Linked DNA regions of Drosophila melanogaster. The protein of the gene in region 2 interacts with the protein of the main gene of each other region in a pairwise test. Each region holds a gene or a part of one and is shown on either strand. Other genes may lie near its edges. The genes, in order: Tmlh, cpa, AdipoR and CG9014.

The links.
Region 1: the proteins of cpa (region 2) and Tmlh interact in a two-hybrid assay, tested with the Drosophila melanogaster proteins (one large-scale study listed by BioGRID).
Region 3: the proteins of cpa (region 2) and AdipoR interact in a two-hybrid assay, tested with the Drosophila melanogaster proteins (one large-scale study listed by BioGRID).
Region 4: the proteins of cpa (region 2) and CG9014 interact in a two-hybrid assay, tested with the Drosophila melanogaster proteins (one large-scale study listed by BioGRID).

Annotation. Positions count from the first base shown.
Region 1 is NT_033777.3:20,405,874-20,409,995, forward strand, and holds Tmlh (trimethyllysine hydroxylase), read right to left. Parts: upstream 1,999-4,122; 5' UTR 1,951-1,998; coding exon 1,761-1,950; intron 1,702-1,760; coding exon 797-1,701; 3' UTR 742-796; downstream 1-741. Other genes in the region: eIF3g2 (eukaryotic translation initiation factor 3 subunit g2), read left to right, coding at 2,454-3,275.
Region 2 is NT_033778.4:21,056,281-21,061,089, reverse strand, and holds cpa (capping protein alpha), read right to left. Parts: upstream 3,304-4,809; 5' UTR 3,069-3,303; coding exon 2,828-3,068; intron 2,707-2,827; coding exon 2,537-2,706; intron 2,479-2,536; coding exon 2,029-2,478; 3' UTR 1,207-2,028; downstream 1-1,206. Other genes in the region: mRpL54 (mitochondrial ribosomal protein L54), read right to left, coding at 1-17, 75-177; CG15653 (uncharacterized protein), read left to right, coding at 622-910, 968-1,191; shg (shotgun), read left to right, coding at 4,617-4,809. UniProt on the Drosophila melanogaster protein: F-actin-capping proteins bind in a Ca(2+)-independent manner to the fast growing ends of actin filaments (barbed end) thereby blocking the exchange of subunits at these ends.
Region 3 is NT_033777.3:22,542,833-22,549,784, forward strand, and holds AdipoR (adiponectin receptor), read right to left. Parts: upstream 5,015-6,952; 5' UTR 4,827-5,014; intron 4,734-4,826; exon of another isoform or gene 4,552-4,733; intron 4,367-4,551; exon of another isoform or gene 4,292-4,366; 5' UTR 4,246-4,291; coding exon 3,880-4,245; intron 3,442-3,879; exon of another isoform or gene 3,255-3,441; intron 3,200-3,254; exon of another isoform or gene 3,164-3,199; coding exon of another isoform or gene 3,044-3,163; intron 2,952-3,043; coding exon 2,853-2,951; intron 2,639-2,852; coding exon 2,286-2,638; intron 2,228-2,285; coding exon 1,926-2,227; intron 1,863-1,925; coding exon 1,783-1,862; intron 1,726-1,782; coding exon 1,591-1,725; 3' UTR 861-1,590; downstream 1-860. UniProt on the Drosophila melanogaster protein: Adiponectin receptor. In insulin-producing cells, regulates insulin secretion and controls glucose and lipid metabolism.
Region 4 is NT_033779.5:13,721,289-13,725,592, forward strand, and holds CG9014 (uncharacterized protein), read right to left. Parts: upstream 2,355-4,304; 5' UTR 2,244-2,354; intron 2,197-2,243; exon of another isoform or gene 2,188-2,196; 5' UTR 2,150-2,187; coding exon 1,781-2,149; intron 1,723-1,780; coding exon 1,105-1,722; 3' UTR 873-1,104; downstream 1-872.

The DNA.
Region 1 (4,122 bases), on a different chromosome or scaffold from region 2:
CGGATCTCTTTAAGGCACATCCATATTTGGAGGACATTTAAAGGACAGCAGCGCGACAGCCATTAACCTGCACGGCCAACAAAAAGTAATTTCACTTTTAAATGAAAAAGTTCAAAGTGCGTTTGTTTATGCCAAACACACACTCTCGCACACAAATACAGAAAACCCACATGAGACGCTGGCCATAAAAACAAATGCCAAATGATTTTTGTTGCTGGTTTTCTGTATGCGATCCACTCCCCTATGACAAAAATTAGACGCTGGCCAGCAATTGTAATCGTAACTTTTTATTATGATACGTTAGCATTTGCAATCGAAATTGAATTGGAGTGGGACTCGGTTCAGAAAAAAGAAAAATATGCTTGAACAATTTGCGTGTTTTTTTCTATACGCAACGATTCTTTAACAATGTATGCTATTCCTGATATATGAACCGAATTTAAAATATGTTCTTATTTGAGCAATCAAAAGCAAACTTATATATATGCAGAAAGGATGTTGATTTAAGCCAGTATCTTGCATCGAAGTGAAGGAGTCAGCTACGAACATGTAAAGTATATATATTATTGATCAATGTTAAATGTTCTTCTATCCACAAAATAATCTCTCAGTGTTAAAGTTATCCGCATGAAACTTTCCCATTGCAAAAAGTATAAAAGTCGGTACGGACCATATAATACATAAATGATTGCTGAAGGAATATGCGGAGCACTAGAAAGTATAGAAAATAAATCATAATTTCTTAGTTCATAAAAGGTTTTAATTCGGTATACATTAGGTATTTTTCAATAAGCTTTCAGTCAATAATTCCCAGCACTCGAGCCTTGCTGAGAAAATCTGTGCGCTGCACATAGGAACCGGACATGGTACGACTTCCTGTGTATGCCTCTCGACCATGGAGCACTCTCCAGTTATCGAAAAGAACAATGCTGCCGGGACATAGCTTGAGAGCCCACTGCTGTTGCTTATCCCTGACGATTAGCAAAAGCTGGCGAAGACTGTCATAGAACTCGGCCATTTCGGCTTGAGGGATGGTATTAAACACGGCGCGATCATATACATTTAGTCTGAGTTGAACAAATTCCTGAGTCAGTGGATCCACCTGTATAATGGGGGCAGTGTGGTAGTGGTGCTCCCCTTTTTCGATGTACTCTCCAGGAACTTGGACACTGCACAGTACATCATAAGCGGCGGGATACCGGCGTTTCAGTTCGTGAACCACATGCAGACCATCAACAAAGAAATTTTCGCCACCCGATCCCGAGTGCTCAATGCAATGTAGAGCCTGTAGTCCGGCTGCATCGCAGAAATAGGTATTATCCGTATGGGAACCCAGGTAAAGTTTGGTATAAGCGGTGTCCGCGTGATCGGGGTTATCGCTAAAAGTCCACATTTCGCCAAAGAACGTTTTCATAAGGGGGAAAACTCGTCGCAGAGCCAATTCTGTCATATTCGCGGTGGGAGCCACATCATCGATAAAGACAATGCCATAACGCACCAGAGATTCAACCAGGGATCTGACTTCGTTATCACTGGAAACCAGCTGGGGCAATGGGAATCGTAAGTGCCGTTCGTTTTGCAAGATAATGCTACGATTCCATGGTGTCAGATTAGTGGACTTTGATCGCCGACCTATCAACCTCTCCAGCTGTGAGTCGAAGATAAAGTCCAGGTCATAGTTCGACTTGTGAGCATCACTCCCTAAAATGGCAGGCCAATAAAATCGAAGCTAGGTGCATTTTACATCAATTTTTTCTTACACTGCACTTGTAGATTCATCCCGTCGTATTTGACATCTAGTGGCATTATATCAGCTGGTAGATCTAAGACATCGTATCGCCTCTGATTTGTTTCGAAATTTAGACACTCCACACATCGACAATGATCACGGAGCCAAAACTCATTGATTTCTATTGATTGGCTGGTTTTCGGGTGCTTCAAAAGCAACATGTTAATGCCAATAGAACAACCGACGGACTAGAGCAGTGAAAGTGAACTAACAGCTCAAAGTTTGATTAAGTTTCAGCTCGGTTTTAATTGTACTGTTATCAGTAGGAGAGCGATTACTTTCATGCTCAAGTCAGAGATAAGAACTTATTTGTTTACGGAATAACTATAAGATTAATAAATTTATTGAATTTAAAGACAATATGTAATTATTAAGAACAACTCATGAAAGTAAAAAAATTTATAATTTAATCAAGATTGATTGAATGGTATGTTTTTGTTGCAAAGTTATCTTAGTGAATTGCTACTCAAGTTGTTGTATTTTTTATTAAAAAATCATTACTTTAAAGAAAATATAAATATTAATTTCAAATATCTTTTATTGAAAGGGATTTTTTCCCATCTCAACAGGCCAAGTAAAATTCAAATGGAAAAACTCTCTCTAAAACTAGAGATCTCTAAGTTTTTAATTCATTTTGTACCGGTTGTGTGGGAAATCATAAAAAATGAAGACTTTCGTTACTTCCTGGGCCGATGAGGTGGATGCGGACTATGTGGATGGACTGCCGCCTTCTAATGAGTACATTAAGGGCGACTTCAAGTACGTGACGGAGTATAAGTTCAACGATGATGGCAAGAAGGTGAAAGTGGTGCGAACCTTCAAGATCGAGAAGCAGATTGTTCCGAAGGCTGTGGCTCGTCGTCGCAACTGGGTTAAGTTTGGGGATTCGCGATCGGACAAGCCCGGACCCAATTCCCAGACGACAATGGCCTCCGAGGAGATCTTTATGCAATTCATCGGCTCCAAAGATTTCGACCAGACCCACGAAACCCAACTTGATCCCGGCAAGAACATCGCCAAGTGCCGCATTTGCAATGGCGAACACTGGAGTGTCAATTGTCCCTACAAGGGCACCTCGATGGATAGCAAAACCGTGATGGAAACCAAGGCCAATGCCGCTGCAGCTGCCGCTATAAGTGATCCCAGCAAGACCGGAAAATATGTACCACCCTTCATGAAGGACGGCGGAGGCATATCTGGCAGCAAAAATTGGGGACGGGGTCGGGATCGGGACGATTCGTCGGCAGTTCGCATCTCAAACCTATCCGAATCCATGACCGAGACTGATCTCGAGGAGCTGGTAAAGAAAATCGGACCACACACCAAGATGTATTTGGCGCGCGAAAAAAACAGCGGCCTCTGCAAGGGATTCGCCTACGTGCACTTCAAGTTCCGCCAGGATGCAGCTGCCGCCATTGAGGTTCTTAATGGCCACGGCTACGACCACTTGATCCTCTGCGTCGAGTGGTCCAAGCCTCAGCCGTAATGGCTATAGCCTTGTGTATTCGCTTCTCTGCTTATTCGAGAACGGAAATGAGCTGCGGTGGCAGTGAAATCAAAATAAAATTCTGGTACACCCTGCAAAATATGCGACCACTTTTATTTTTAATTTGCACACATTCGATAATTACAGAGAATATATTAATAATAATATAAAATCTATTTATTAATGTTTCGTAGTAGATTTTTTCATCTTTCAGTTGAGCAAAGGATATGAATTGAGATAGATATGAAAATTGTTAAAAACAGTCTGGTTCATTTGGGACCACTCAATTTTCGAGTTGATATACCCTTGGACATCCAAGGTGGATGCTTTTTTTAAGTGCATAAAAGAGAAAGCTCGCCTTGAGCGAACTAAAGCCGATAATGCTCCGTTTTAAATGCGATTTTTTCGCCGTGCTCCGCAGCCGTACAAAGGTGAAAGCCACTTAAATGGAAGCCAACGTGGTGCCGGATGATGATGGCACGGCGTTCCCGGCAAGAGCTGAGAAATGCCACAAGACGCTGGCCGGACCGAATGAACATTAATAATTAAATATAAGAGCGGACTTATGCGCACGATACTTGGAGCGGAGCCCCTCAGAACGGGACGCCAACTACGCGACCATGACGTTGAACCGGGAATGAGTGGTCGGTGGATAGTGTTCGCGGGAAAGTCCCGGCTTAGATACACATTTTGAATGAGGGGCGGATCAAAGCCAGGCACAAAAGAAATTTATTTCCATTGTTGTTGCTGTTGCGGTGGTATGGGATGGGTAGCAGCTAAAGCAGAGTCTAAAACAAATTACTGAATAATTTATAAATTAACTTTTTCTGCGGCGCGCTCATTCGTT
Region 2 (4,809 bases):
CTTTTTCTTCTTGCCCGCTGTGGAATGCATTTACTATTAGTTGTTAACTATTTAACCTGGATGTGGAGGCTCACCTGGCGCCGCCGGTTTTGCAGCATAAAAACGTGCCCAGTTTCCTATCGCTGGGGCTATCAATCGCTGCCTCGCCATCTGGAAAACTGCGGTTAGGCTGGTCATGTCTGCTATGTGCTTTATTTAATCCGTTTTCGTCACTTTAATAGAAAAACAAATGATAAATTACAGATATTTACAAAACTGTGCGTTTTGTTGTATAATCTGCTAACTATAAGTGTGGCACTGCAGCCCTGGTTATAAAGTATACGACCAGTCAGCTGATTTTTCAAAACAAATAACTATCGAAATTATTTTTAAATGAAAAGCAATTTTATGAGCAATTTTATAATATGACTTAATTGTCACTAAAACAACATAACAATAGATGATGTTGTTATATTTTCTGCAAATAATTTGCATATAAATGCATTTAGAGGTGGACTTCGGTCTTAATAAGCCTTTTCACATAACGATATCGACCAGCTGTCATCGCTAATTCGACGCCGGCTATACGGTATATTACACAAGTAACAGCAGCTGGATTGTAAATAAAAAAGCGTTAGCAAGATGGTTGGACTCAAGTTTCCGTCGAACCGAACACTGGGCAATATTTGTGTCTACGGTGCGGTGGCCTCCATATCCGCTGTGATGTACATGAAATGGAAGATGGAGGATCGGGTGAAATCCGCAGAGTACTACAAACTGGCCTTGAAGGCACTGCGGAGCCATCGAGGAGCAGTTGGTCTCCTGGGTGAACCCATCAAGGACTCTGGCATCGATCTGTCCAACGCCAACAACAATTGCAATGCGGAGGAGGCGCGTTGTGAGGTGGCTGTGCGGGGCAGCAAGGATAAAGGTAGATCCATCGATTTTGAAAGCAAATCTTTGGCGTTTACCAACCTTATATTTGCAGGAACTTTATACTTTTGGGCGTCCAATCAGCCGGATAGAGGCTGGCTGATCGATCGACTGGAGCTGGAAACAAAACTCAACCCAGAGAAACGATTTTTGCTTAAAAAATCCGAGGAACTAACCTTCGATCTGCCCGAGAGTATAACCAAACAAACTGCCCAGCAAGTTGATTCCAATGTCATTCTATCCGCATCGGATCAACAACCAGAAACACATTCAAAGTGAAGACAATCCGAATGTCCGATTCAATTAGTTTATTCTCTTTAAATTTGACTAATTCAAGCAATCTTAAATGTTTTATAGTTATGTTATTTTAATTACAAATTTATTGTTTTTATAAAATCAAAGTCTTTAGTTATTGTTTGTCAATGGAGAGCTGGCAAAAATGATCAGTGGTTTAGCATAGTTATTATTCATGCTCATACTAGGTGGTTGGTTTGTGAACAATCGGGAAAGCGAAAAACTTGAATGAGTGCTCCTAATGATACCACTTAAAATAGTCGAGAGTCGGCTGGTTGGTCTTCAAAGACACGAAGAATTGACTGGCTCATCGAGAGCGCAGATCTCGAGCTTGATTCGTTTAAAATTAGAATAATACATAGGTCAGAGGACATGATAAAATCCGCGTTTAATGCTCTTCTTAAACGATAAAGGCGACAATTGGTGGCGATCGTGACGTAGACGAGGCGGCAGTGCATCGTTCACCGTCAGGCTAAAGTCATCCAAATCCTTGCAATCAAATCGTCTCCGATCGTACTCGATATATGTGTAGTTATGTTTACGCACTTTCGTCGTTGTATAACACAGTATAAATACAGGCCGTATATATATATATAAGTAGGTATATGTTCGTATGTATATAGCCAATTACAGACATTTGCTTTTTCGGCAGGCACCTGCACCTGGCCGCCCTCGTTTCTCGTATTCCTGCTACTTCGTTTCGGATGCTGTGGTGTTAATGCTGGTGATCGGTTCCTATGCTCGCTTGGCCATGGCAAGTGGAAGACTATTGGGCCGCTTTGTCGACTGTGTCCGCTCCTCTTCCGCTTGCACCTCCTGGTCTTATTGCGTCTTCAGTTCCTTGCCAATGCTGTACGAGACGATTTTGCTCCAGTCGATCTTGGTCCTGGTGATGGGCAACTGGCGACGCATTGCCTTGAATGTCGTGTCCGACATCGTCTGATAGTTCTCCGAAATGGCCAGCTGGTACTCATTCTCGGCGTCCTCGATCAGACGGATCACCTCCTTGGCCACCTGCTGCTCGTTGCTGACCACCACGCTTTCGCGGCACTCCTTTGAGGACACCAGCTGGACGTTGCCGTCCTCGTAGTAATGCACCTGCACCTTGAGCACACCCTTCAGTTCGGCGGTTCCGCTGCCCGCCTGGAAGGTCACATGCCACTGGGAGCGCCATCGGCCATTCCAATAGTTCTTCGGCTGGAACTGGTGGTCTTCGATGCAAATGGTCAGGGTGATCTGGTTGCCCTGCGCCTTTCCAAAAACAGAGCTGACCTGTAGAGAAAATGTTACGGGTTATTGTAAGCAATAGAGCGTTTTTCATTCAACTTACCCCGTGTCTATAATGACTGGCAGTGTAGGCGAGCGTCTCCAGGTCGAGGGCCGCCCTCCAGGGCTCCGCAGTGGCATCTGCCTCTACGTCCTGGTAGTCGGAAGCCTCTTTTCGGAGGTGGTCGTATTTGAAGGCTTGCTTTGTGCGCGGGTCGTAGAAGCGACCGTTTCCTGGAATGCAATTGCTTATCAGTGTGGGGCTCAAGATATCGACCGAAAGCCAAACAATGTGTGTAGGTGACTCATATGGCAGGCTTTGTCCATTTAAGGGCATTGATGGAACTGAACTCACCCAGATCGTTGTGTTCCGATATGATGGCGTTATGATCGGTGCCCTCGATGCGAACCGGAGTCAGCTGGTCCTTGTTGTATTGGGCGAAGGCGTGGCTAGCCCCATCCTTTAGCAGAGTGTCATTCTTGAGGAGCTCCCGCACATCGTTGAACACTTCGTTGAACTCGCCGGGCGGCGCATGTAGGATGAAGTCCGATACGATGCGCACCTTCTCCGCATCGGTGATCGGTGTCTGCTCCATAGTTCCACTGGTGATTCACGAAATCGGGGCTGGGCGGTTGTTTGGTTTGGTCTGGTTTCCCCTCCGGTTCCTAGGGTTCTACCTTTCGACGGGATCTTCTTGTGGAGTGGTTGGAAGTTGCGGTGTCGCTGGAACTCTTCCTTGACCGTTTTTTCGGCGCTGCAATCTTTTTTCTCCGCAATTAATGGGCCAAGACGATGACGATTCGATTCACTTTTTTTTCCACTCTTTGCTAGGGATGGGAAATATTTGTGTACCTGTACCGGATGCGATTCACCGTATTTTACGGGCAGTCTACACTGCTCCATAATCCGACGGGTGAATGGCAAAAGTCTTGGCGCGTTACTTGAATTGCAATAAAAAAACTTTTAACGATGTAGAATGTAATACATTATAGAAATAGTTCCTCGAGACCAATAAATATCATTGCCTGTTCAAAACCAAACTCAATCAGAACTTTTTTAAAGCAAATTATGTTATTGTTGTACATGGTAGCTAGTTTTGGTTATTAAATATTTTTCAGTTATATAAGTATTAAAGTATTGATCAACTCGTTTAAAATTAACCTGTTTGTTTGTGAAAAATAGTTGTTAATAATTCTATTTGAAAGCCCAAGCTGGGCCATTTTTATCTTCCAGCTTCCATTTTTAAAGAAATATTTGTTATATTAAATCCAGTGTAATTGATTCACATCAACGTATTTATCGAGAAGTGTAGACAGTATATAGTATCGATAAAACGAAAACATCGAGATTATTAACCGTTAATTATCGATGACCGAGGAATCGACGGTGTCTCACATCTCTAACGCCGCCCGTTGTTTTTGTTGCATTGTGTTTTTGCTTTTGAATTGAGCGGTTGTCTCGCGCGTCGATCGCAGTTTCAAAATCGGTGTGGCTCCGCAGCTTCGTTGTAAGTCGACAATAAAAGCGATCGAAGTGAAAGAAAATACGTTTTGCGATCTTTTTATTTAAAATAATTCGCCAGAAAGTACAAGTTCACAACGAAATACCATCGAAAAGTGCCTTTTTACCAAAAGTCGTTGGTAACACACATACCAACGCAGCGAACCGAACCACACGCACACAAATGCGCGCGCTTGGCGGTGTGCGTGTAACCACTTTTTTACCTGGTCTTACCTGTTTGCGGTGCGAAAGAGAGGAGGCAACAGAAACGGAGAAAGAGAGTGCCCAAGCGGACGAGTGAAAGATAAAAGTGAACGAAAATATCAGCCAGAGCAGCTGCACCGAAATCGGAATAAGTCAGTTAACAATCAGGGCGCGCACTGTACGAGTTCGATTCGATTGATAATTATTGAGCGGTTGCCATGAAAATGCAGTCCAAACAAACGGTACACTGAGAGAAACGAAACAAGAAGAAGAGTGCAAATAGAATAGAATAAAAAAGAAGTGGAAGTAGAAGTGGGCAACACAAACAAAAGTAAAAGGTGTGTGAGTGAAATAATACTGGGTGATTCACGAAGAAGTGCTCAAAAGTGTTGCGGTTGAAAAAAAGAGAGTCTGCGATGGCGGATCGCCGCTAGAGAGTATGTCCACCAGTGTCCAGCGAATGTCCAGAAGCTACCACTGCATCAATATGTCGGCGACCCCGCAGGCCGGCCACCTAAATCCCGCCCAGCAACAGACGCACCAGCAGCACAAGCGAAAATGCCGCGACCTTGGCAGGCGACTAATCCCCGCGAGACTCCTCCTGGGCGTTATCGTGGCCATCAGCCTTCTGT
Region 3 (6,952 bases), on a different chromosome or scaffold from region 2:
CAAAATGTTCGATTTCACAGTGAAAACTTCATAACTTCCATGTGAGAAATAAAATAATAAGTTACAATATATATTTTAACAAATATTAAATATATGTAATGCTAATGGTAATGGTACGTCGTAATGCTTAACTTTTTGAATGGTTAGCATTTGCTTGATACCTATCCGAAAATGCGTAGTCTTCAAAATCATCAAATCCAAGCCGCACTGTAGCATTTAGCTTTGCACATGCTTACGCCTCATTAAGGCATTTTAAAAATATTTCTCTTTGGCTTTGGTTTTCTCCCACTTTGCCCAACTTCCGAACTGATTTTCGCCTTATTTCGACCAAGTCATTTGCTTTTTTTTCTGCTGAACTTGAATTTTTGTTTGTAAAATAAAACCCCTGCAATCGCATTTAGTTGAAAGACACGTGCCGACAAGTTGTCAAGTACAAAGTTCGATTTATTTGCGCCGTGCAAAATAAAAGGTTTAACGATCTGCGGATTTGTCGATAGAAACTGGCACACGGCGAAGACAATGACGACGCATAGAACACAAGGCAGCAGAGGAATCAGATCGCGATCCGAGATCTCGGCGACTAGACCACGGCTGCTCACTTCATCAAGGGGGTCAAAGTCAACTCGGCATTCGCCCAGTCATCAGCAGACTGAACTCCACTAATAACCCCGATGCGAATTTCTAGTTCTCTGCAGCGATATTTATGGCCAGGCATTAGGGTGATGGCAACCGCCGAATTGCTCAATGGCAATCAGCAAACCTTAAAATAGTTTTTGCGCCAAGAAATAAAATTATATATGGCTTAATATAGCAATCTTCACCAAAACGCTCTTTTAGAAGTCTCAGCTTTTTTTTTTATTGTTTTGATTCGCTTTATGTTTTGTGATAGATCTGCATTTATAATGTATATGGTGATATAATATCTTAGGCTCCATGCGCGATGCTCTGCCGTGTGGGTGCAGGGATGCGGAATTTGTGATGTGCTGTGTATATGTGTGAATATAAAATCAGACCTCATTTAACGATGAAACGTATGTTCATTACTCCATACAACCCTAACAACTCTAAGCGGTAAGGTAAATACTAATGCCACAAGGGGATCATCTAATTGCATAACTTAAAGTAATTGCTTGGCTGACATGGTAGCTCCTTTAGATCCTGTTTTAGCAATGGAACCCTTGAGCGGAAGTCATCTCGTTTTGCCAATTTCAGATGCAAGCAATTCTGCACTACTCGAAATGTAAATCAACTTACGACAACATTAAGTAGACAAATTGGAATTTTATAAATAATTGTACATATATTAATTTCTCTACTGCAGATTTCATTCGACAATCAACTGGTTTTGCAATTTTTTTTTTTCTATGCAAGATTTTGATGATAAATGCGTGTAATTGTGTGTTAAGTGTGTGTTTTTGTCTTCTATATGGTTCCGTTGATTTTGTATAACAAGGTACAAATGCTCCCCAAACGCTAAAAAGGTTGCATTGTAAAACTGCGCTAGTTCGCATTAATATATGTTTTACTCGTACTATGAATGGGATTGTATGTGCTTTTACGATGATTGTTTCTTGGCATCCACTTCAGCATCTAAAAGGTTATTGGTTCGATGGGAACAGTGCATTCGCTATACATGACGCGGTACATGGCCATTTCAGAGATGCCATGGTAGTGGACAAAAGCGGCCGCAATGACCAGTATGTGGAATATTTGATGTGATTGACCCTGCAAAATAAAAGACTGTTAGAACGGTGCAAAGGACAAAACCATCAAGAATCGTACCCAAATGTCAAACTTTCCAGGGAACCAGCGTTCGGGAACACGGAGGGCGTACAGCAGTGCGCCCAGAATGTAGAGGAGGCCTGCAAGATGTATTTTGCCATTGTTTTACCATTATTTTAATATGCATATCTACAAGCACTCACCCATCAGAATTAGCCATCCCAGACTGGCGCGGCTCATCTGGCTGAACCAGCCCTCCATGATGCTGTAGTGAATAGCTGGAATCACACCCGACAGGCCAAAGCTCATAAATACGCCAGCGCGCAAGGGACGAAGTGCCGGCTCCGAAAACTTGTCCCATAGCGAGACCACGATGGAGAGGATGCCCAGAATGCTAACAACGGATAGGTATATCACCTTTGGCTGGTAATGACAGTAGAAGCCATAGTACAGCCAAGGCACAAAGGAACCCATGATCAGCAGCGCAATTCCACAGTAGTCAAGTCTGTTGGTAAACAAAACAATTAACATAATATCCATTTAATTAGTCGAGGAATACTTACTTAGAAAACAGTCTTCCCATCTCTACAGAATGACAGCTCAGTGTGTGAAAAGCGAATGAGAATCCTAGGCACACAATCGCACCGATAAAGAAGGCGCCAAAAACGATCTTCTCCTGTGTCTGGATCTCAACCGAGGGACGCGAGATGAAGTATAATGCCACGCCGATGAAGGCGATGCAGCCAAGAAGATGTGTCCAGATGTTGCCCGTTTCCGTGTGCACGCGGAAAATTGATTTAAAGCACGCACGGAAAGAGGGGAGCGGTGGGCGATGGCCGCGGTGTAGGAAGTCGTTATCCTGCAGCCACTTGGGTAGATTTTTGTAGTGGCACACTTTCCAGCTAGCCTCCCAGACCTACGGATGAAATGGAAAAAAATAACATATCATTCTATAGATAAGACATTACGTTTGGTAACTATAAACAAACAACAACAACAAAAAATACAGTCCCAACACTTAATACTATTTATTGAAATAAAAACAAAAATACAAAAGCTACAATATTACAAATCTTGAAGAGTATCTTCCATTTAAGCCATTCTTCACTTGGCAGCATCACTTGGCTTACCTTGCGCACAAACTCCTCTGCCTGCTCGGCGGCATTGTGTGCCAATGCGCCCAAATCAATTTCATCGGAGAGAACTCCGGCCTTCAGCACTTCCGTCATCTGTGGAATAGAGTGATAAGACATTAAACAGCTCTCAAAACAAATATAAAAAGCTTAATAACAAAGAAAAACTAAGAGCAAATGGGACTAACGACTGCATTTTCAGCTTGCTCCTTGACTGTGTCAGGGTTTTGGGTTCTGTAAGTTTCTTGACTGAGATCCGGCTCCAGATCCGGGTTGACACGCACTATAACCTCCGGCTGGGTCTGCATCTTGAGCGGCTAACAGAGATTCGAACGGAACTAGAACTAAATGTGCGAGGCAATGAGCGATTGTACTGTGAAGCCTCTGCCAGTCGCATACTCAATTTGTTGGCGGAACAAGAAAGCACCGAATGCGTTCCGCGATAAGATAAGCTTGCCCGAAACTGACTCCGGGCATTATCAGCACCGCATCGACGTAAATTTGTGATTTTTTTCCAGCATCTGTCGTATAAAGGGCTATGCCAAAGCTTTTTGCGTTCAATCTAAGCCTGACCTTTAAAGCCGGTGATCAAACGGGCAGATTGTCTAGAGTATAAGGCTCAAAGTCAAGAAATTTTACTTGACACCTTTCGGACAGACATTAAAGGCAAGGAGAGATAAGAGGTATAACTTTCAAATGGCTATGGAATATGCTTTAAATTGAGCAATTGTATTTAGTGAGTCATAAAAATGGAGAAATGGCCACGATAAGGTTTAAGTACAATGGTTATGGTACATTTTGCATGTGGCAAATAGACATTGGCCAATGCAACATTTCGATTGATAAGACGCCCGACATTGAAATGACTGCCTGCGCAGAGGGAAAATTGCGACTAACAAGTGGCAGCCGATAACCACATGGTGGTAGGTCAGCGATAAGAGCTCCGCCACATGTTTTGACGATTGCATTTCGTACTTTTCCACCTGGTGGAAAATGGAAATAAAGGTTAATAGCCCCAACTCACCTCCGCCTCAATAAGCTGTGTGTCCTCCGGGGTCGAGGGGAGTGGACAACCGGCGTCATCCTCCTCGACCAACTCATCGTCGTACTCCAGAATGTCCAGATCATTGGGGCTAAGCGAGTCCTCCGGTCCCCAGCCACGTCGCTTGCGCAGGATCATCTGCACCTGCTCAAAGATATCCTCGTCTGAACCTTCTCTACGCAAGGTGGCCGTGGTGGTGGTCACCGCCTCGCCGGTAGCATGTCCTTCGGCGTCCATGCCGAAAGTGGCTCGAGCCTGGGTGGTTACCTCCACCTCGGCGGGATGGCTCCCGCCACTCACATCAGCCGCTGAGCCCTGTTGCTCGAGGAGATTAGTGGCCGAATCCATGGTCTTACGATCCCGCGGATTCGTTTTGCACTCCGCAAATAGTATTCTGTAAGAGAAATACGTTCTGTTCAATACGATACATACGAATTTAGTTGTTCGAAAGCAATGCTAAGCGTTTGTTAGCTCAACGCTAGCTCGTCTGGGAAATGCGATATTTGTTTATTTGTTTATTGGTCTGCTCCGATCGCATTGCTATATAGTATGGCGCGACCTTTGTTCCCCAGTAAATCGGTTGTACGTAGCACATAAGTCTGTATCTGGTAGCTTTGTGTGTTTTATCACTTAGGAAACTTAGCTGCCAATTACGTTTTTACATAAGATGGTGTTCAAATGCGAGTGGGATCCTCAGTGGGTTAAGGTGCAGTTGCTATTTCGGGGAAACCATTATATAGATAGCAAAGTGCATGGAAAATGCAGCCAGAAGGCCACGTGTGAGTGGAATACTACCAACTGGCTTAACCCCCACCTGCACTCCACTTGCGCAGTTCCCATTTTTTTTATACGAAGTTACAGAAAGTGTCACAACACAAACGAACGATTAATCACTCGATTTCACTGGCGTTTCGTTACTATTCACTTACCACTCGAAAGTCGCGCAGTTGGCGTGGCTTCGACGGCAGGCCCAGGAGTCAACACTGGCGCGAAAAACTATTTGCTGCACTTGCTTCAATTGCGTGCAATTGCAGTTTTTCATCTGTTTTCCCTTAATTTAATTTTTTCTGTGTTTTTTCCAGTGTGACTGCAAGCGCGATAGGGAAAATCACTAGCAATCATATGGGAACGGAGGAAATGCGGTCATACCTTGACGCAGCAGCTGTTAACGGCTGTTAACGCTACTTTGTAGTCACAGCTCTGTAAAACAATGTGGCAACTCTGCGCAGCGCCCGCCATATTTGAAAATGCTTGCCAGCAAATCGTATTGCTCCCGGTAAACAAGGTGCTTTCATTATTAGTCAACATTTTTGAGAGCTAACAACTTTTTATTGGCGATCAAAGGTGGTACTTCAACTGACCAAATATTGGATATTTGCGTAAATACCTAACAGGCATTTGTTTTTTTTTTCATGAGAAATTACCGTGACGAAATTACAAGACGTATATTATATGAATAGAAAATTTTCCTCTAGTCTGTAAACACTTCAGTAACAGAGAAATTGTTTTCAAAAAATGTTAAGGCATCTCATTAAAAAACATCAACAATGAACTCAACTTAAGCCTGGTAGTTATGAATTAGCATGTGTAGTTCCCCGATATTTAACCTACTTAAGTATGCACATATCTGCCATTCCTTGGACACTTTTGCAAAGACAACAAAGACAACATCACAGCTTACTTAAAATATATATATTTAAATTAATTAATTAAAGTAATACAAGAATGTCTAATTATAGCTTTTTTAGAAATAGCATTACGGTGTTATAAAAACCCACAAATGTAGGCAAATAACAATTCTAATAATAAAGAAACTTAATTGGGAAGACAAAATGGTGTTTGGCTAGTGAGGAAATATCACCAGCCTTGCAGGCCCAATAAAGATTCACTTGTTTGGCAAGCTCTTAATAGCGCAATTTAACTACGTTTTAATAGCGCCCTTAGAATATTTATTGCACATAAAGGCCAATATGTTTAGTCAAGAGTCATTCATCTTTGTTAAACAAATTCAATTTCAAACATAAGACTATAGAACTTGCTTTGCTCAGGGGCAGCCCATCAAGATGATATACCCTATTGACCAATCCAGGCCAATATCATCCATCAGCTCTCGGCGTTCTGACCAGCTACGTTAGAAACTCGGCCAAGGAGCAGATTTCGCACAGACCCCGACTAGCGGTATTAATCGACTGAATTAATACATTTAGTAGCGCTGAAGTTCAGGGTCATAATCACAAAAGAGAAGCGCCGATAATGCGAGCTGTTTCTGTTTGAATGACGAGCGCGCGACAAAAAATGCTAAACGGCCAATGTGCTTCAAATGGAAATGGAAATGCCAAAGACCCGGAAGGGTGGCGACCAACACAGCTGCAGTGCATCCAACTCGGCAAACATTTGCATATTTGACCGGGCACTTAGCACGTGGGTGGAGTACATGGATCACCATGGGTCACACAAATCACCTGGGAATCTGGGAGACTGGTGAGAGTAAGTGCGTGAAATTGACCCATTCATTGGACGGACAATCGCTTCCCATCGATCTGGAAATGTGTTAACTGCGCCCGTAAACCCTATTTGCGTAGTTAAATTAAGTGCCAGGTTATGGAGTTGGGGCGTGTCATCCCCCACATTGGCACATATATATATATATATATAAGCACTTATAACTATGCTGCCAATTGAGTTCGTCTCAATGACGTGACGGCGATAATAAATCAATTGTCTAGCGGTTTATTTAAAGCCAATTTTGTAGCTGGAAATTGGCACACAGAAAGAAAAGTGGTGTCAGGAACTTATATATAAAATGTTATTATTTTGGTTATTTTTAAAGGGTCTAATGGAACTATTTTTATTATAAAAATGTAGATAATTTTTTAAGCATTTCTTTATAGAGATGTTTTTAGAAAAATGTTTTTTTAAATGGGCACACAGAAAGAAAAGTGGTGTCAGGAACTTACATATATAAAATATTATCCATATCTATTTTGTTAATTTTAAAGGGTCTAATGGAACTATTTTTATTACAAAAATGTAGTTAATTTTTTAAGCATTTCTT
Region 4 (4,304 bases), on a different chromosome or scaffold from region 2:
TTACTTCCTCTGGCGAAGGAGGACCCATGTAAATATTAATTAAGTTTTGGCTTTTGTTGCATTAGGCTTCGGTTTTTGCAGCAAGCCCTGAGGCAGCCAGTTAAAGGGCTCCCAGGTGCCGGCATCTATCATTGTATTAGCTGCAGCATTCGGTGGTTAGTTCGTTAGTTGTCCTTTGTACTGCGTCGTCGTCTTGGCTTAATCAAGTTAGCCGTACATGGCCTTTGTGTGTACCGGACCATTTAATTAGTTCAAAGAGTCGTGTTTGATTTGACACTAATTCGGTGTATACTTCATTCAATGGACAATATTTGCCCAAATGTGAGCTCATCGCATCGAAGTAAGCTGCTTGCAGTCCATTAATTTTCATTTGATCAGAGATCTCGTTTTCAATTGCAGGCTAAAATCGTAATGGTCCCGAAAATTTATCTCAGCTGGGAAATTAAATTTTGTACAATTTGTAAAACTTTTCCAAATGGTGTCGCCAACTGCCGCGAACCGAGCACAGCCAAACTTTTACCATTTCCATTATAAGTTTTACTTGATGCACCCACCGCAAGCCCAACCAACCGCCCACCCACAGAAGGAGCAACCTCAATCCCAGCTTATGCGTTTATTTAATTTCGCTCCAACATTACGCATACGCCCGAGTGTTCACTGAGCTTCTATAATTGCCGCGTAATTGCCGAGAAGAATATCTGTCAGCTACAACGACAACTTTAAACTGTGAGTGTTGCTGCACTGAACCAATCGATGAGGGAAGTTTAACAAAACCTTAAAAATTTCAAAATTACATACGTTTCATAAAAACTCTTCGATAGTATTGGGAGCCCTCAGATTATTCATAAGGTCCGACATTAAAAAATAACACGACCATTTGTTTGTTTTCTATTTACGTAACTCGAATTGATAAAACATATTTATATTTTTCATTTTGACGACTTTTGAAGTACGATCGTGTAATTTAAGACAGTGAAGCAACATGACCATCATTCCAAAACAAAGGACGTGGAAAACGGGCAGCCAGTTGCGCTTTTGTGTTGTGTTACCAAAATGAATTTAGATGTGGAGGATACAAGCAGGATGTGGTGACCCATCATTGGCTTAAATAATCTCTTCGCCAAATATTACCTCATTCACACCGTCGACGAAGATCATGACCAGTCCGAGGATGGGGCGCAGATTCTCCGGCATGTGGGTGTTTTCGCCGCCCAGAACAACCACGCACGGTTTGCCAATGACCAGACCGGGCACCAATCGGGTGACATACCGACTCATGAGATGTTGGTTCTCGCGGCGATCGTCCAACGTCATCAGACCTTCGGGCCAGCGATCCTCGTGGCAACGTTCAACCAGCATATTGAGCATATGCATCGGACAGCCGCTTTCACGCAAAACGTCGCGCACCATCAGGTGCATGGGATTGTCCGGCGTGGAGATCAGACTGCCCCACGTATGGATGTTGGCCAGAGGGAGTCCATGGCCCCACTGCATCAGTGAGAAGCGGTCCAGTTGTTCGCCAATGTTGCGCAGCATGGGATTGGTCGATCGCAGTGCTGCGATATAGTACTGGAACAGCTCCATCTCTCGGCGCTGGCTGGAGCTCTGCTCCTCCATATCGGATTGCTTCTGCTTCAGATCGGAAACCTCCTTCGCCAGTTTCTCCACCAGCTCGCGCAGTTCGAACACACAGTTGTGGCGCGACATCTCGTCCTTGGGTACCTTTAGCGGGAATATTATAGCTATCTTAAGCAGTTCAAGTTATTCCCAGAATGTTCACCTTCATTCCGCACCCCTTGCTGCACTCGACAACCACCTTGGGATTATGCTCGCAGGCGGCGACATGGGTCCGGAACTCCTCGAGGGCCAGCATTTGGGCACAACCGCTTTGCGAGAAGGTGCACTTGATCTTTAGGCGGGATAGCATGTTGCGCATTAGGCGCGAAACGGGCACCAGATGTGAGGTCAGTAGCCCGGAGCGGTCCACCGGGCAAATCTGTTTCTGGATCATCCACTTGTCGATGCAGGCGCGACAGAAGGCGTGCTCGCATTCCGATGACTGGACCGGCTCCTCCAGGACATCTGTGCAAATTGGACAGATGAGCTCCTCGTCAACGTGGCCCACAATGCAGTTTAGATCAAAGCCCATGACGAAATGGTTTGATTTCTATACCGAAGTTTATGTCGCTGGAGAATCTGAGATGTTATTTTTTTTTGGCATGGAGCCACTCTCATCCACTTACCACTGAGTTCGATATGTACTTATACCTATATCCGAAACTCGATTTTTACAATATTTCGATCAAAAAGTTAGTTTTTACGTCGGCGCTGAGTTGTGTCCGAGCTGGCATCTGATTAAAAGCCAACTATGTGTATAGTTATGCATAGTTATATAAATAGTATATATAGTTTATTTTTGTAAATAAAAATCCTTTTCTTAAGCTAAGAAATACTAGGCCTTTCGATCATCTGTTATGCAAACAGCTCTCATTGAGCCTTCTACCATTTAGGACACTTCAATTTCAATTCAAGCGCAACTGAAACCAGCCAAACAACCAACAGAACACTGGGAGTCATCCATCCAAGTGGGCCAAGAGCAAGTGGGGTGGGGGCGAATGGGTCTGAGAAAACGTTTTCTTGAGGCACTTGCATATAGTGCGGTCGTAAAACCCTTTGCATATTTATAGTCCCAACTGCTGCGGAAGTTATGCAAATTGGAAAACTTATGGTACGACAACCCGGAATAATGCCAAACGTCCAGCCAACCTTCGGCGACCACGTTTTAACTTAGCCTGCACAGAGAAGCGATGCGAAGCGAAGCGAGGAGTTGAATTTTATTTATAAAGTGAAATTTTAACAAATTAACAGCAAATGCTGGGACATGGGCAAACAAATAAACTTTCCATCTTCAGCTCCACAATGGCCGAATTTCGAACAAACACTCATCAGACGACACACAGGCATGATTGTGACAACATATTGCCATGTCAAAATATTTACACTATATCAACTGCTCTATGCAAACTCGAATGTATATACATACGTGTGTATAATAGAATGGGCATTGTGTGACTGGAAATTCGGTTTTTAATTTCACTTGGAAGCGTCATTCGCTTGGATATTAAATTTCATGTTTTGCCTAAGAATGACATTTGCTTTTGTGTGCCTTTTTGTGCATTTTGTTTGTGACAACTTTACTGCATCGAATCCTTTTCGTTGGATTGCAATTTCAGTCTAGTGCTACCAAATGCTTATCTCCGAATGCAACTGTCAGTCTGACATTTTAGTTTACTTTAAATTCCTGCTCAAGCCTTTTCAGTTTGCCATAATATTCAAGACTCATTCTTTCATTTCGTTTTTATCTTGAAAAACAGTAATCGAAATGCTTGAATTGATGAGTTGAATAAATCACAATTGATATGCGATTCCCCACTCCGGCTGGTGTGAAATATTCTTTAATAAATCGCATTTTGTGCAAAATAATTAAGTCCGTGTGGGGTGTGGTGTTCGTTTTATCAATCCATTGGCTTTGCGACGTTCAATAGCAATATTTCACATTTCTGAGCTGATGGAGCGCATTAGAAAATAATCAACAATTTTCATTTGACTTGGCTCCGATAAAACCCATCATCCAGCAAACACAAAACGAACCACTCAAGCAGGAAAATTTAATAAGTTTGTACGTAAGCATATACACAGCTCGCCACAAAAATGTTTTTCCAACTGATCTGACCGCATTTGTGAAAATCAGCATTGATGATTCGAAGGCTCCTAGAGGATGCACACACTCTGATGAAAGATTTGGATAATAGCTTATGATGTTTTATATATTATAGAAGTGCCTTTTTTTTTGTTAATAAAATATATATGTACATTTGAGTGCTGTTTTTTTTAAGTGCAAGAAGATCATGTTTGGTTTTTCCGAGTGTATTTATGTACGAAACCCAACTAATAAGGTTAGCAACGTGTAAACAGTCATTACGTGAGTGGCTCTGTGTTAGCATGTAACGAGCCACAAATGCTTGCCACACAATGTTTATTTGCATTTATATTTGCTGTTCTTGCGCCGTTGTCATTTCATTGCAACATCAGTACGTGCCTCATTGTCCCCAAGTCCTTAGCATCCTGATGCCACATTCCCTCTACTCTGCAGATAGATAATCATTAATGACGGACTCGAAGTAGCATTCTGCTCACATGTTTCCCGCTTCGCCTTAAGTTCCAAAATTGTTGATTGGCAGTGTAATTATGTTCTAAACATATTTACCTTATTCTTGAAGTATAATTTATTGGATGAGTTAGGT